2 linked regions of the Tamandua tetradactyla genome follow. Each later gene encodes a partner of the first gene's protein in a complex. Links are inferred from orthologs where the notes say so. Each region holds a gene or a part of one and is shown on either strand. Other genes may lie near its edges.

The links.
Region 2: TAF1C (region 1) and RRN3 share a complex: the UniProt entries of both Homo sapiens proteins name them as parts of the pol I pre-initiation complex. The link is inferred for Tamandua tetradactyla from reciprocal best matches to the Homo sapiens genes TAF1C and RRN3.

Annotation. Positions count from the first base shown.
Region 1 is NC_135342.1:78,858,551-78,866,697, reverse strand, and holds the start of TAF1C (TATA box-binding protein-associated factor RNA polymerase I subunit C), read left to right. Parts: upstream 1-4,919; 5' UTR 4,920-5,074; intron 5,075-5,080; exon of another isoform or gene 5,081-5,337; intron 5,338-6,892; 5' UTR 6,893-6,893; coding exon 6,894-7,031; intron 7,032-7,708; coding exon 7,709-7,790; intron 7,791-8,007; coding exon 8,008-8,105; intron 8,106-8,147. Other genes in the region: ADAD2 (adenosine deaminase domain-containing protein 2), read right to left, coding at 1-111. UniProt on the Homo sapiens protein: Component of the transcription factor SL1/TIF-IB complex, which is involved in the assembly of the PIC (pre-initiation complex) during RNA polymerase I-dependent transcription.
Region 2 is NC_135349.1:37,315,065-37,322,936, forward strand, and holds the start of RRN3 (RNA polymerase I-specific transcription initiation factor RRN3), read left to right. Parts: upstream 1-4,780; 5' UTR 4,781-4,944; coding exon 4,945-5,033; intron 5,034-6,231; coding exon 6,232-6,337; intron 6,338-7,134; coding exon 7,135-7,191; intron 7,192-7,872. UniProt on the Homo sapiens protein: Required for efficient transcription initiation by RNA polymerase I (Pol I). Required for the formation of the competent pre-initiation complex (PIC).

The sequences.
Region 1 (8,147 bases):
GGGTCTGATCTGCAACGATGCCGCCAGACGGGGCTTCCTGCGGCCGCCGTCGTCCGTGCCCGCCGTGGGGGCGAGCGGGGCCCTTGAGGCCGCGCTGGCGGGCGACGCCATGGCTGTACGCAAGGACAGAAGGGCGCGGCCGGGCCCCCGCACCCAGGGAGCCCCGCGCGGCCCGGATCTCGCGCGGCCCTCTCCCTCTCTCGCGAGGGCGCGGCCGACTCCAGCGTGGGGAGCACGCGGCCGGCAGCGCACGGAGCCACCGCCCCCACCTGCCCGGCCAATGGGAAGGCCCGCCTGCCCTGTGGCCAAGGCCCGGATGCTGGACGTAGGCTGGGTGGGAGGGGGGGCACGGAGGAGGCTTCCGGTCCCACGTCCCACTTCCGGGGCGGGGCGCTCCCAGCAGCCTTTTCTCCGCCCCTGGGTGGTCCTGGTAGAGTCTGTGGGAGCCACAGGGATTAGGATCCCCCGAAACCTACCCCATTCCATCAGCCCTCCCGAGCTCCTTAACCTTGCTGAGCTGCGGTCCTTGTTTGATAAAAGAAAGCTGTCAAGATTGTAGCAGTCCCCACAATCGTTAGGATCTGAGCCGTAAGAGTGTTGATTATAGGCCTGCAAGAAGCCAACCACGAGAATCTCCAGCCAAAAGTTAGCCATTTGGTTAAAATTAAAATGGCACTCTGCTCACTCCTCACCCCTCCATCCCACCCCACACGCCCACTCTCCTGCACACCCCTGCTAACCCCAACATGGGATTTTTTTTTTTTCCAACATGGGATTTTGAGTTGACTTACAAAAATGTCACAGCTGGGAATGGCTTTGTAAAGAGAGGTGGTAGGGGTGAGGGGAAAATAAGGTGAAGTAAGGGATGAAGATCATTTATGTAAGACCTGGTAGGGCACAACATACATTTGCTTGAAGGGGGCTACGAATTTTAACTCTGAGTGGAAAAACATGGCCACTCAGTTAGCAGTGTCTGTAAGATGTGTGGTCTTTGTAGTTGCTGCTGCTGCTGCTGCTGCTGCTGCTGCTACTCGTTACCCTTGGACCTGGCAGTGCTAACCAAATTGTGGCCGTGTGGCTACTTTGGGTTATGAGGAGCAACTGGTGGAACAGAGACCATTTATCTTGGAAGGAGTAGGTGTGGGGGGCCAAGGTAGTTTCAACCTAGTCAAATGTTTCAAGGGTTGGCTTCAGAAGAATTCTGCTTTTTTGTGTTACCCAAATGGTGGAATTAGTCCTCATAGAGAGAATGGACGGGACAACAGGGTTTCAAAAATGGAATGGCTGCTGAATATATCCACAAAGGAACATGAACAGAGTCTTCATAATTGCCAAACCAGGAAACATCCCCAAAGTTCATTTACAAGAGAATGCATACACAAATTGTGGTGTATTTCCTACAATGGAATACTGCTCGATAATACAAAAGAAACTCCTGCTGCATACACATTATGGGTGACTCTTACAGAAATGTTGAGTGAAAGAAGCCAGACACAAAAGAGTATCCTCCACATGATTCCATTTATATGAAGTTCTTGAAGAGATCAGACTAGTCTATAGTGATGAAAGTCATAATAGTGATGACTTCCTGAAGGGGTAATGACTGGGAAGTGGCACCAGGAAAATTTTCTGGAGTGATCGAAATGTTTTCTATCTTGATCTGAGTGGTTGCTACACAGCTTTATGCATTTGTAGAAAATCCAAATGCAAATCCCCCCCAAAAAAATCCAAAAGCTACACCCTTAAAATTTGTGCACTTTACAACATGTAAAGTATATTTTAATAACAAAAAGAAAAGATAGCTTTGAAGATTGAAGGAGCCATGAACCAAGAAACATGGGCGGTTTTTCAAATCTGGAAAAGGCAAGAAAATGGATTCTTTGGAACCTTGTACCGGTCTGAATCAGTGGTGGACCCCAGAAAAGCCATGCCCTTTGATCCTCATTCAATATTGCTGGGTGGGAGCATTTTGATTGTTTCCATGAAGATGTGACCCACCCAATTGTGGGTGGTAACTTTTGATTAGATGATATCCATGGAGGTGTGTCTCCACCTACTGAAGGTGGAGTTGCTTGCTGGAATCCTTTAAAAGAGGAAACATTTTGGAGAGAGCCCCTTTTGATAGAGTTACGAGAAAGCCAGCAGAACCTGCCATGTTCGCCACGTGCCCTTCCAGCTGAGAGAGAAACGTTGAACGTTGTCGGCCTTCTTGAACCAAGGTATCTCTCTCCAGATGCCTTCAATTGGACATTTTATAAACTTGTTGTAACTGGGACATTTTCTCAGCCTTAGAACTGTGAACTAGCAACTTATTAAATACCCCTTGTTAAAAGCCATTCCGTTTCTGGTATGTTGCATCCCAGCAGCTAGCAAACCAGAACAAACCTCTTGTAGGAATGCAGTCCTATTTTCTTTTCTCTTTTGGGTGGTGGTGGCGCATGGGCTGGGAATTGAACTTGGCAAAAGAATTCTACTACCGAACCAATCATGTACCATTAATGCAGTCCTACTGACAGTTTGGTTTTATCCCAGTGAGATCCATTTTGGACTAGTAACTTCCAAAACTGTCAGATAATATATTAGTGTTGATTTAAGGCACGAAATTTGTGGTGATTTGCTACAACAGAAAAAACTCATATAAGTGCCTTCAAATATTTTGCTTACCTACTCCCTAAAATAATTTTGAAAAACTATACATGCCAAATTTTTAATCCCAAATTTAAATACAGAGGTGTAATTTCTGATTTATTATATATTATCATTGTCCTTTAAATATGTTTTCATCAATTTATGAAAAATACTCTCCATATGATCTAATTGGCAAAGCCAAGCAGATAAATCTCATAGTCAAATCAATCATTTAATTCAGATTTACTTCCTATCAGAAAGTCTGGTGTTAATTTCAATTTAAATAAATGTGTTGATATTTTCCCAGAAAAACCATCTCATTTCATTCTCTTTCACTGATTCAGTATTTATTGAGCCTCTACTCTATGCCAGGAACTTTCCTGGATGTTTGGGATACATCAGTGAATGGTCTGTCAATGAATGGAATCAGAGTTCCCAACCTTCTGAATTCTAGGCGTGTAGCCTGTTCTAGTTTGCTAGCTGCCAGAATGCAATCTACCAGAAACTGAATGGTTTTTAAAAAGGGGAATTTAATAAGTTGCAAATTTGCAGTTCTAAGGCTGAGAAGATGTCCCAATTAAAACAAGTCTATACAAATGTCCAATCTAAGGCATCCAGGGAAAGATACCTTGGTTCAAGAAGGCCAGTGAAGTTCAGGGTTTCTCTCTCAAGTGAGAAGGCACATGGCAAACACAGTCAGGGCTTTTCTCTCAGCTGGAAGGACACATGGTGAACATGTGTCATCTGTTAGCTTTCTCTCCTGGCTTCTGGTTTCATGAGCTCCCCAGGAGGTGTTTTCCTTCTTCATCTCCAAAGGTTACTGACTCATGGACTCTCTGCTTCATGGTGCTGCAGCATTCTCTGCTCTTTCTGAATCTCTTTCATTCTCCAAAATGTTTCCTCTTTTATAGGACTCCAGAAATTTATCAAGACCCACCCAAATGGGTGGAGACATGCCGTCACCTAATCCAGTTTAACAACCACTCTTGATTAAATCACATCTCCAGGGAGACCTGATTACAGTTTCAAACATACAGTATGAATAGGGATTATTCTGCCTTTATGAAATGGGATATAGATGGCATTTATGAAATGGCTTTTCTAGGGGACATGCATCCTTTCAAACCAGCACATAGCCTAATCAGATGTTCGAAGTCTTGATGAAATAAGATATCACAGCCAGCAGTATTTTTCTTTATTGAAGTATAATATACATGCAAAAAATGCATACATGTAAAAAAGTGACAGATCATTAGATGAATTTTCACACACTGAACACACCCACGTCACTAGATGAAGAAATAGAATTTTCAGTCCCCAGAATCCCCACAGCTGTACGCTTCCATCATTATTTCTCACACCCAGCTTTTCTTCATCTTCTGGGGGCTCCTGTAGGAGCGCTGCTTTGTGGAATCATCCCCTTGTTCAGCACCCATCCTGGGGCAATGCTCCATGGGTGGGAAAAGAACAACTATGAAAGGCCATACAGGAAAGGAGAACCACCCAACTCCAAGTTCCTCCCAGAGAACAAAACAAAACTATATAGATGGAAGTCAAGAATTTGGAAATGGTTTCTTTTAAAGCAATGGTTTTCAAAGTTGATCCCTGAATCAGCATCGTCAGCAGCCCACCCCCTCCACCCCCCCATCCCCTGCCCTCAGGGACTTCTTAAAAATCCCAGTCTTGGGCCATACTCCAGACCTCCCCAGTCAGAAATTCTGGGGGGTGAGCCTCAGCGCACTGTTTTAACAAATCCTCCAAGGGATTCTGGTGGACACTCAAGTTTGAGAGCTACTGGGTTTGAATTTATCACTGAGCAGTGTTCCTTAAAGCATGGTCCCCTGACAGGCATGTCAGGAGTGATGAACGCAAATTATCAGGTTGCACCCCACCCCTGCTGAATCAGAACCTGGTTTAAACCGCCCTCCAGGTGATGCTGATAGAGACCCACTGCCTGCAACTATACCTGAATAACTTCCCCTGGAAAATCCCCAGGTACTCCAGGGAGCCAGCTTGTTAGGGTTCAAGGACAATCAGTGGGCTACCCACTGGCTAACCCAGGAGCATTTTCTGAGTGGCGCTCAGTAAATGCCTGCTGAATGAATTAATTGAAACGCAAATCAACCCTAACAAGCAGGAAGGAAGTTGGTCAAGCAAAGTGGGGATTCAAACCACGTCCACCTGGCTTTCACATTCCCTCCCCTGTCCGGGAGGGGGCGCGCGAGGACGCTAGGGAGCCCGAGCTGGGAGGCGGGACTTCCTATCGCCGATGGGGCACTTCCGGCCAGACCCGGAAAACTGTTCGTTCGCAACGTGGGTGGGTGTTGACCCCGGCGGTTCGCTGAAGGTAGTGTGGCGGCTTTAGGGCTCTCTCCCGCGTGGAGGGACAGAAGAGCGTCGCGCGGGCTCCCATTTCTCTGACTAGCACCCCGGAAGCCCGGATTACGTAAGTGCGCGGGCCACTCGAACGGGAGGAGAGAGCGCTGCCAGCCGGGCGGCGAGGCGGTCCTGGTCCGAGAGGGGAGCTCGGTTTACTTCCGCGCGGGTCCGCAGGCCCCAAGTGGTGTGGCTTTGGGACGAATTATTTAACATCTGCAAAGTGGGTTATTAGTAGCCTCTGGCTGACGATTCCACAAATGTGAAACGGGGTAGCGGCTGTCTGCACGCTTCCCTGAGGAGCACACAAAGGACTCAAAATCTGAAGGACAGGTAGGATATTGTGAGGCTCCTGGAGGGAATGGATACGGGCTCATCCGAAGCAGAGGGGCAGTGTGCAAATGTCCTGTGGTGAGAAGAAACATAGTGAGGAGGACCCCAAGGAGGTCAGCGTGATTGGGATCCACGGAACAGGGAGATGAGCTGCAGGTGTTTTTGTGTCTGCTGGTTTATTGAGGTGGCGGCTGTCGGGAGGAAGCTTGGTGCACCTGAAATGCAGGTGTGATAGCCTCTTATGGAAGCTAGTGACTTTTCACAAAGATTCACTGAGCACCAGCGGGACCCCCGACACTATCCTCTTCTATTGTGCAAAAGAAATTAATAGTAGCAGCCAGACCCCAGGAACTTAAGAATGAATCAGTTACAATCTTTGCCCTCAGAGAGCTCACAGTCTGGTGGAGGAGACAGGATATACATGAAAACTATGATTACAGTGAGGTTGATGGGTGCCCCAAGAGACTCACTGAATCACTCGACCCTCATTGTGCCATTAGCATAACGGGTGGTGCTGAAAACACGTGGACGTGCAGAGCTACAGCATAAACTGGTAAAGTGCATCACAAGGGAGAAGATTTTTACCTCCTAAGACTATGATACTACTCATTGTTTGGTCTTGGGTGCACAGGTGTGTTGTGGTCCAGTACACGGGCTTTGAATTGGATGAGGGGGTGGGGGCTGAGGTCTTGGGTCTGGCACTTATAAGCTGTTGACTTTGGGCAAGTTGCCATTTACCAAGCCTCAGTCTTCTCAACTCCAGAATAGGCATATCTGGAAGAAGAGGAAAGCATGTAGCACCATGTCTGGCAGCCCATGGCACTCAGTGAGTGCTGCTGTTATTTTTGTGTTTAATTTTAAAAGGGAGATGGCTGCCTGTACTTTTAGAATACTTTGTATTTCCCAAAACCCCCACATTAATAAAAATAAACTTTTATTCAACACACACTTTCTGGGAAGTGCATTTTCTGGGAGGCACTGTGCTTGACAGGGGGAAGACGGATAAGCACAACTCAGTCCCTGGCTTTGGGGGAACTTGAGTCCAGCCTTGGGAGTTAGATTACAAAAGTAGAGTGATAATACAGGGTGTTAAGAACTGTGATAGAAACTGAGCCATCACCATTTGTCTGACTTTCCCTTCCACTCTCCGTGTTCACTCTGTGGCTTCCTGTTTGTTTCCCAAACATGCAAGCACTTTCCTGCCCCAGGACTTTTGTACTAGCTCTTCATTCTGTCTGGAATCCTGTTCCCAGTTGTCTGCATTATTCTCTCCCCCATTAGATGCCATCTCTGCTCAAATGCCATGTACTCAACAAGACTTTCCCTGGCCAGTCACTGACCCCTTCTTGTGGTTGTTTGGTTGTTATGTTTTAATATAGAACTTTTTGTTACTTTCCATTAGACTTATATAGTCATATCTTTTTCAGTATGTTTTTCACCAAGGAAAGTAGATTCCTCTTCGGGCACTTTTTACTCTCCCTAGAAACTCTGGAGACCGTGATCAGATTCAAGTCTCTTGGGAAGGCCAGGGTAAAGTTTGGTTCTTGTTTTCCAGAATGGACTTCCCCAGCTCCCTCCGCCCCACCTTGTTTACAACGGGCCCCCTTGGACTGAGCAGTGTCCCCGACCTGTCTTTTATGTGCAGCTGGAGAGATGCACTGACCCTGCCACTGTCCCAGCCCCAGAACTCAGAGGTGAGGAGGGTAGGAAGGGGCCCTGAGAACTCCAGAATGAGCCGTTGAATTGAGTCCCCTTTCCTAGCACACCAGTTGGCAAGGGCCTAGGGTGGGCGGTGGTAGCCCAAACCCATGAAGACACAGGCTGAGCCAGAGCCCGCCCTGTCAAGGTATGTGGGAAGCCCTTGTCCATGGACGGCTTACCTGGTGAGAGCTGGGGTTCATTCTGTCCTGCCTCCCTGTCCGAGTCCTTCATTTGTTCATATTGAACAGTCCTGACCGTGTCCTGACATCTTACCAGGTACTAGGAAAACTGGCAGTGAGTCAGATCATAATCCCTGCCCTCACAGAACTCATGGTCGAGCAGGAGTAAACAAGCAAACATATCAGTGAATGAAATAATTTCAAATTGTGATAGCTTTGAGTTTGAAGCAAAGGGACAGAAACGGGGTGTAGTAGGGACGACGCTGGGAGTAAAAACCACAGCCTGCCTGTAGGCTGCCTGGGTTCCAATGCCAGCTCCTCTCCTTATTGGCTCTGTGACCTGCAGCAAGAGACTTAACCTCCCTGTGCCTTAGTTTCCTCCTTGGTAAAGTGGCAATTACAGTTGTACCACCCTTGGAGGGTGATTGTGTGAATTGAATTGAGCATGTAAAAGTGGAGCGCTTGTTGTCGTGGTTGTGGTTTTCTTGCAGAATGTGGCACTGCCCTCAGCCAAGGGCCTGTGGTGGGAGCCAGAGACCCCTGGACCCCTCCCCTTGCTGCCTCCTAGTCCTGGTAAGGCTCCCCTTCCTCTGGTCGGCTCCCAGGCTGCCCCACCTGTCACTCCTCTCCCCAGCCCTCTGTCCCCTGAAGCCTTCCCTCACCCTCCTGATGCTTTCTGCTCCCCTGGGGTCCCTGGATCCCTCCAGTCACCTGGGACACCTGGCCCCACTTCTGTCCCCATCCCAGTCCCCAGGATAAACCCTTCTCCCTAACCTCACTCTTCCCTCAGAGCCCTGGGACCCTGGGCTCACTGCCCAGGATCTGCTTTTCCGAGAAGGTCGCCATTTCCGGAGACAGCCCCGAGCCACGCTGGATGTTACTGAGCAGGTGGGTGTCCCTGTATGGACAGGGCCAGGTGGCCTGGAGGCC
Region 2 (7,872 bases), on another chromosome or scaffold:
TTGTACTTGGATGTTCAACAAATATTTGTTGAATAGACAATTATAGATATTGGCTACTCTTCGAATGAAAGGCTATAGGCAAAGATAAAACTAAGGTTAGGTAGTCCCTACCAACCAAAGACAGATTAGAAACACAGATAAAGCTAATTTCTAGTATCATGCTGTTTTGATTTGCTAAAGCTGCAAGAATGCAATATATCAGAGATGGGCTGGCTTTTTCAAAGGGTACTTATTAGGTTACAAATGTACAGTTCTAGGGCATGAAAATGTCCAGATTAAGGCACTGAGAGGAAGATACCTTTTCTAAGGAAAGGCTGCTGGCCTCTGGGGTTCCTCTGTCACATGTGAAGGCCCAGGGCGACATTTGCTGTTCCTCTCCAAAATGTCTCTGGGCTTCTGTGGGTCCTTGCTTGTTTCTCTCATGGCATTTATCTCTCTTTAAACGTCTCTGGGCTCTCTCAGCTTTTATGTCTTTTCATCCTTTTACAAAATACTCCAGTAAAGAGGATTAAGAACCCATTTAATTGGGTAGGTCACATCTCCATGGAAACAACCTAATTAAAAGGTCCCACCCACAATAGGTCTGCATCAACAAGAATGGATTAGAAGAACATGGCTTTTCTAGGGTACATAACAGTTTCAAACCAGCACACATGCCAATAAAACAATAGAACATACTTTATTGATTCACAGTTTCAGTCAGATACATTTGCCTGCTGAGGAATTTGGGGGAAATTAAGGTACTTCTCTCTGTGGCATTCTTCTGGTAAAAATATGAAAATCATGTTCCAAATAGGAATTATATAGCATAAGAAACTCATGTATCACTGCCATTGTGTTCCAGAAGAATAAGATGGGAAATCATTTATTTACCAATGTTCCACCAAGAATATTAGAGGCAGAAATGGAAATTTTTTAAGTATATACAATACATGTTTGGTATATTATGCTTTACTTTTTTTCCTTTTAGTGTTTCAAATGTGTCTTGTATCTTCAACTGGACTAAAATTTTAGTACCAGGGGACATTTGGCAATGTCCAGATTTATTTTTGCTGCTACTATGGTGGGGTGGGATAGGAAATGCTACTGTGGAGGTCATGGTTGCTGCTAAATATCCTATTATTCCCCTACCCTACTCTCAACAGATAATTATCAGGCCCAAAATATTAGTAGTGCTGAGGTTGATACACTGAGCTTTATGCTTACTTCTCTATAATACTGATAAATAAGAAATGGCATAAATGCACACACATCTATCAATCAATTTATCTGACTAAAGATTTACAATTGGGAACGTGCATTTTTATTAACAAATGGAGTTCTCATAAAAGTAATTGACTCGCTAAGTGATGATATTGTGAAGTACTGATTATCTATGTTAATTTTTATTTCATTTGTTAATTTTTTAATTAATAAATAAATTTTTTAAAAAATAATAATTGACTCAAAGTAACTGTTGACTCTTTTTGGAAAGGGAAAAGGAACAAATAAGATATACACTATTGGGTTTCCTATTCAGAATTGTCCATGTGGATCCTCCCTACCGCTCTGCCATTTGAAAAACATTTGTCGAGTATTTATAGTAGCCATCTCATCCATAGCAAAGGTTCATTGGAAGTCATTTGGTACAACATCACCTCCCCACTCTAGCCAGTATTGATACAAGCTTGTCCAATGAAAAGTTATTTTCTGGTGCATTAAGATATCCTTGTATACTTAGGAAAAAAATTCCCTTTCTGTGTAAGCTAGGTCAAGTTAGTTTCTATTACTTGCAAGCCAAAAGGCTTTAAGCAATTGAACTACCTCCTATTGTTCTAGGGATGATAGAAAAATTCATCTCTAAGGAAAGACTGCTCTTTTGAAAGAAAAGTTTAATGGGCCATCTGGGTATATGAAAGTAAAGGAAAAATTCATTTTGGAATGAAGAAGTTTAGAACAATTAGAAATAACTATAAAGGATAGTGTTGTAAAAGGATGACTTCACCATGGGTGAGGCTGCATCTTTTCAAGGTAGTATATTAACACCTTCTTTGGAGATGGATGCTTTATTTTCTTGGATTAGAGCTGGAAATACTTGAAGTTGGGGCTCTGGGGAAGGCAAGACTAGATGAAGGGGGCTTTTAACTCAGAAACACAAGTGGGCCCATGTAACAGGATGAACTAGAGGATCTCCAATGAAAGGGCATGAGAAAATAACTCAAGTAGTGAATTATGCTATTTGATTTTAAGTTTTCTCTTGTATTATTCTTAGGCTTCCATTTCAATTGTTTAAAATCATGGTAGCTTGGTTTTAGGTGTGCTATGGAAATAAGGAAGGACCTGTGCTCAAGCTTAAGGTGAGTATATTGCTGAGAGGGTATATTGGTACAATCACTTCAGAAAGCTCTTTAACCATCTGTTGTATAGCTATCAAGGCAACAATTTTACCCTAGAAAAATGTGCATATGGCATCAGTAGACTACACAAGAATATTCATAGCAGCAATGAAATAATGATGCAAATAAAAAAGAATGGAAACAATGTAAATGTCTAGAATGGATAAATAAATCCTACTTTATTCCTGTGATGGAATTATATCAGAGAAAACAAATAAATCACAACTACATACAAGAGAGATGGATTTCAGAGGGATAATGAATGAAAAAGAAAGCAGCTTTTATAAAATTCAAAGAAAAGCAAAAGTAAACAGTATCTGCTTAGAGAGAAATTAAATATGGTAATTACATAAAGAAAAGTTAGAACATTTTTGAAAATCAGGACAGTATGCAGAATATATTTTTAAGAACTTCTACAAAACACCAGTAAAACACACCAAAAATTCAATGGAAAAATGGGCAAAAGATTTAAATAGACATTTCATTAAAGAACATAAATGCCAAATAAGCACATGAAAAGATGCTCAACATCATTAGCCATTAGGGAAATGAAAATCAAAACCACAGTGAGATACCACTTCATACCCATTAGGGTGACTATTATAAAAAACAAACAAAAATAACAAGTATTTGTGAGGATGCTCAGAAATAGGAACACTTTTGCACTGTTGGTGGAAATGTAAAATGGCACAGTCACAGTGGAAAACAGTTTGGTGGTTCCTCAAAAAAATTAAAAATAGAATTGCCATATGACTGAATAATCCTACTTCTAGGTTTATTACCTCCAAGAATTAAAAACAGGGACTTGAATAGATATTTATGCACCAGTGTTCACAGCAGTGTTATTCACAATAGCCAAAAGGTGGAAATGACCCAAGCATCCCACAGATGAATGGATAATATGTGCTGTGTGTGTATAAATATATACAGACACACAAAGGAATATTTTCCAGCAGTAAAAAGTAATGTAATTCAGATACACTATAACATGGAAGCACCTTGAAACATTATGCTAAGTGAAATAAGCTAGACACTTATATGAAACACCTAGAATAAGCAAATTCATAAAGATAAAGTATATTACAGGTTATCAGGGGCTGTGGAGAGGAGGGAGAGAAATTACAGCTTAATGGGTTCAGGTTCTGTTTGGTGTGCTGAAAAAGTTCCGGTAATGCTTGGTGCTGATGGTAACAGAGAATCACTGTATGGTACACGTGAAAGTAGTTAATATAAGAAGTTTTGTTATAAATCTTACAATAAAAATTTAAAAAATGTATCAGGATAGTGAAACCTTTGAGAGGAAATCAGGGAGAAGGTGTGATTATGTTTTATATACATTAGAACGTTATCATATACTATTTTGTACATACCAAGTTTTTAAATGAAAGAATACAGTAATTACCAAATTGCTTGACAGTCCACAAGTTGCAGGTCTATTGACTGTGTATGAGAGCCCTAACGAATTGTGATTTTTTAAAATTTTGTTTTTGCTTGGGGGAGAGGGAAAGATATTCCCATTTAAACAGCTGTCTTGAAGATAAAGCGGAATTATTTCCTCTGCTCTAGGGACGTTGATGATTTCTGCCCAACATTCCCCATGAACGCTAAAGCAGTGAGGGAATATATGGTGGTGGGACCGAATGAGGACAACAGAGTTACTATTTAACACTGTTGTAAAACAGAACTGTGCTTTAAATTTAAAATGTACGCTGTAGCTGGTTTTATGTACTCTTGATAGTTGTGTATAGTTTCTAAGTGTAACATTTTTCCCCTCTTAGAAACTGCGGGGAGGAGAGGTCTATTCTGCCCCGCCCCTCTCCCCATGGCTTGGCACCTACGGTTCCCAGTGACTGGAAGACGCTTTACTGCATCCTTGGTGTGGCTGACTCCCAGCCCTCCGGTTCAAAAGTTAACGCCCCTAGGAAACTGTCCCCTCTCTCCTCTGATTTCTCACTTCAACATCCACACTTACAGCTCTGAAACTTTTACGGAAGTCACTTCGTCAAGTTCTATTTTCCTTGAGGATAAGATTATCTTGGGTGTCTGTGACGATAGTGAGTATAGAGCCCATGCTCCTGGGGTCAGGCAACTTCGTTCGAATCCCCAGCCCGCCCCTTTTCTATGCGTTAATCATCGGCTAAACTCAGTTTCCTCATTTCTCTTCAATTATAATAGTGGTAAAAAGCCCTGAGGAATACTCTGACTCCAAAAGTTAACACTCAGAGGAACCCAGCAGCTGCTGAACCCTGTCGTGGGATCTTCAAGACTGGACGGAATGCAGCTTTTCATACCTCCCTTCTCCCGGTGGTAGGAGGCCGCACTTTGCACGCTCTGCCAACCCGGGCGGTGAAAGTCCTCCGAGTGGTAGGAGGGGCCTGGTGGGGGCGAGAGGAGAAAGCTTTGGCGGCACTCTAGCCCGCTGAACGCTCTACGCTCTCTCCAAGTGGGTTCTCTGTTGGGCTGAGAAAGAAAGGCCGCCACTTGCCCGCCCGACTTCCGGGCCAGAGACGGTGGCTGCAGGGAGGACGATTTCCGGCGCGAGGCGCAGCAGTCGCGCTAGTCTGGCCCAATGGCGGCCCCGCTGCTTCACACGCGGTTTCCAGGGGATTCGGCCGGTTCGGCCTCTTCTGTCAAGGCACTGGGGTCGTCCAAGACTGGGTAAGAAAGAGTCTGGGCCTTTTTATGTTACGCATCTGGGATCAAAACCCAGGGTTGGAACAGCGGATCTGAAAAAGGTCTGGGACAATGATGAAGAGGAATGGAAGTAAGGGTAGAGTTGTCCCGCGTTCTTAAAAATGAGCCTCTTCTCATTTTTAATGGAGTTGAGAGGGGCACTGGAAAACGAGCTCATTTTCTGTATCAGAGACCCCCTTATGCTCCCGCTGGGCTCCTTCATAGCGTTTCGGGCCTAGATAATGACGTTCATTCCTTTTACTCTTTCCTCCCGGTTTCTCGTCTAGATTTGAAAGGAATTCCCTGGGCTGTTTGTTCTATCAGCCAAATGCTGTCACTGATGGCAGATTGAATCTGAAATTCTTGTTTGTTTGGAATTTGACCTAACATTTTAATAATTTTTTTCCTTGCGCTTAACTTTTAAGACTCTTTTCCCCCCTTAAAACATTTTAACAAGTCATTAGTAGGATGCTATGATTTTCCACTAAGCTACTTTGTTTAAGTGAGGCAAACCTTACTTAGCATAACACCATTCACTATATTTATTGACTGCCTACGTACTGTCTTTTCTTATTGTGTTAAACGGTAAGACAGGAGTCTCTCACAAAAAGCAAGGTCTGTCCCTGTGCTCAAGGAGCTTACAGTCTAGGGGAGAAGTATAGTAAATAGGCCAATAAATCAATAAACAGGATGATTTCAAATAGTGGTAAGTATTGCAAAGGGGGAACAGAGAAGGTGGTCAGGTGAGGAAGGCTTCTGAATTGACATTTGAGCTGTGACTTGAATGAAGATAAGATTCCAGCCATGTCAAGACCAGAGAAAAGTGTGCTTCTGATAGAGGGAATGGCAAGTGAAATGAGGAACAGCTTGACAGGTTTGAATAACAGCAGGGACACTATGTCTACATTAGCACAAGTGGTTGGAGATGAGATCAGAGGGTTGGCAGGGGTCAGAGCAATGCAGGACCTTGAAGACAATTTTAAGGCAATGATCTTTTAAAAGGTCTTCTAAAATGATCTTTTAAAACATTATTTGGCTGAGGGAAGAATGAATTATTGGAGGACAAGAATGGAAGCCAGTTAGGAAGCTTTTGCAGTCATCCCATTGAATGATGTTGATTGTTTGGTTCAGTAGATATATTCTCTGTCATGCACTTACTAGCTTGATAATCTTGGTTCTACAGAATTTCAGATATGCTTGTACTAGAGAATGATTTCTTCAATTCTCCCCCAAGAAAAGCTGTTCGTTTTGGTGGAACTGTAACAGAAGTCTTACTGAAGTACAAGAAGGTAAAAGAGGAAATAACATGTGATGATTGTTTTTTTTATTGTTCAGAATACAACCATAGATGCTATCCTAAAGACCAGTAGACATGGTTTAAAATGAATTTTAGATATTGGGCTTGAAATACTCAATAAGAGCATGATGCTGTCAGCTCAAAATTGGGGTAATAAGTCTTTGCTGAGGTTTCACCTTTTCAAATGCTTTATTTATACCAGATCTTTCGAAAACTTTAGCAGGTGATAAAATAGAAAACATTACAGCAGAACGTTTTATGTTTCCTCAGAAATTATCTAAGGATAATATGTGAGGACATTAAACCACCTCTGTTGATGCGAGTTTTTGATTGTTCTTTAGTGTTAGTTTACAAATGATGCTATTAAATCTCAGAAGTGGGGGGAAAATATAAATGATTTTCCATATATATAAAATGTACATTTATAGCTATGTATGTGAATGGGTAACATCTTAGTTGCTCTTTAAATCATTACAGTGAATTTTTTTCATATATGCTTTGAAAATCATTAGACTGTCAACTTGTGCAAATGTCAGTACACAGATATATACGTAACTAGTTATGAATGGCTTTTTGGTTGTCATTTTTTTATTTTCAGTCACCTTGGCCCCATTAACGTGGGTTTTTAACTTTTTATAGTTACGATTTTGTAATATACCTTTTCGTAAAAGTTACAGTGTTCCCATTGTAATTTCATCAGATGTTAAGGGATAATTAAAAGTCCTGCTGTTGAACTTTTATAGGAAACTAAATCAAGCTTAACTTCTTTTTTTTCCCTTCTTGTAAAAGGGTGAAACTACTGACTTTGAGTTGTTGAAGAATCAGCTGTCAGATCCAGACATAAAGGTAACTAATTTTGTGTTTGGTCATTAGCAAATATCACTGTTTTGTATAGGCATTGATTTGCACTTTGGGTTCTGTTCCATCCTCTTGAACTGGCTTTCTTCAGGATACCTTCTCATTTTAATGCATGGTTCTCAGCCAGGGGCATTTTTGCCCCCAAGGAGACATTTCATAATGCCTGAAAACATTTCATTTGTCACAACATGGTGGGAGAAGAAGGTGGAAAGTGCTACTGGCATTCATGGGTGGTTGGATGACAAAGATGCTGCCAAACATCCTACTGTGCTTTATTTTCTTCCTTTCTAACACCTTGTTCTAGTTTGCTAGATTCCGGAATGCGATATACCAGAAACAGAATGGCTTTTAAAAAGGGGAATTTAATAAGTTGCTAGTTTACAGTTCTAAGGCCGAGAAAATGTCCCAGTTGAAACAAGTCTATAGAAATGTCCAATCAAAGGCATCCAGGGAAAGATACCTTGGTTCAAGATGAAGTTCAGGGTCTCTCTCTCAAGTGAGAAGACACATGGTGAACACAGTCATGGCTTCTCTCTCAGGTGGAAGGGCACATGGTGAACACGGCATCATCTGCTAGTTTTCTCTCCTGGCTTCCGGTTTCGTGAAGCACCCCAGAAGGCGTTTTCCTTCTTCATCTCCAAAGGTTGCTGGCTCGTGGAATCTCTGCTT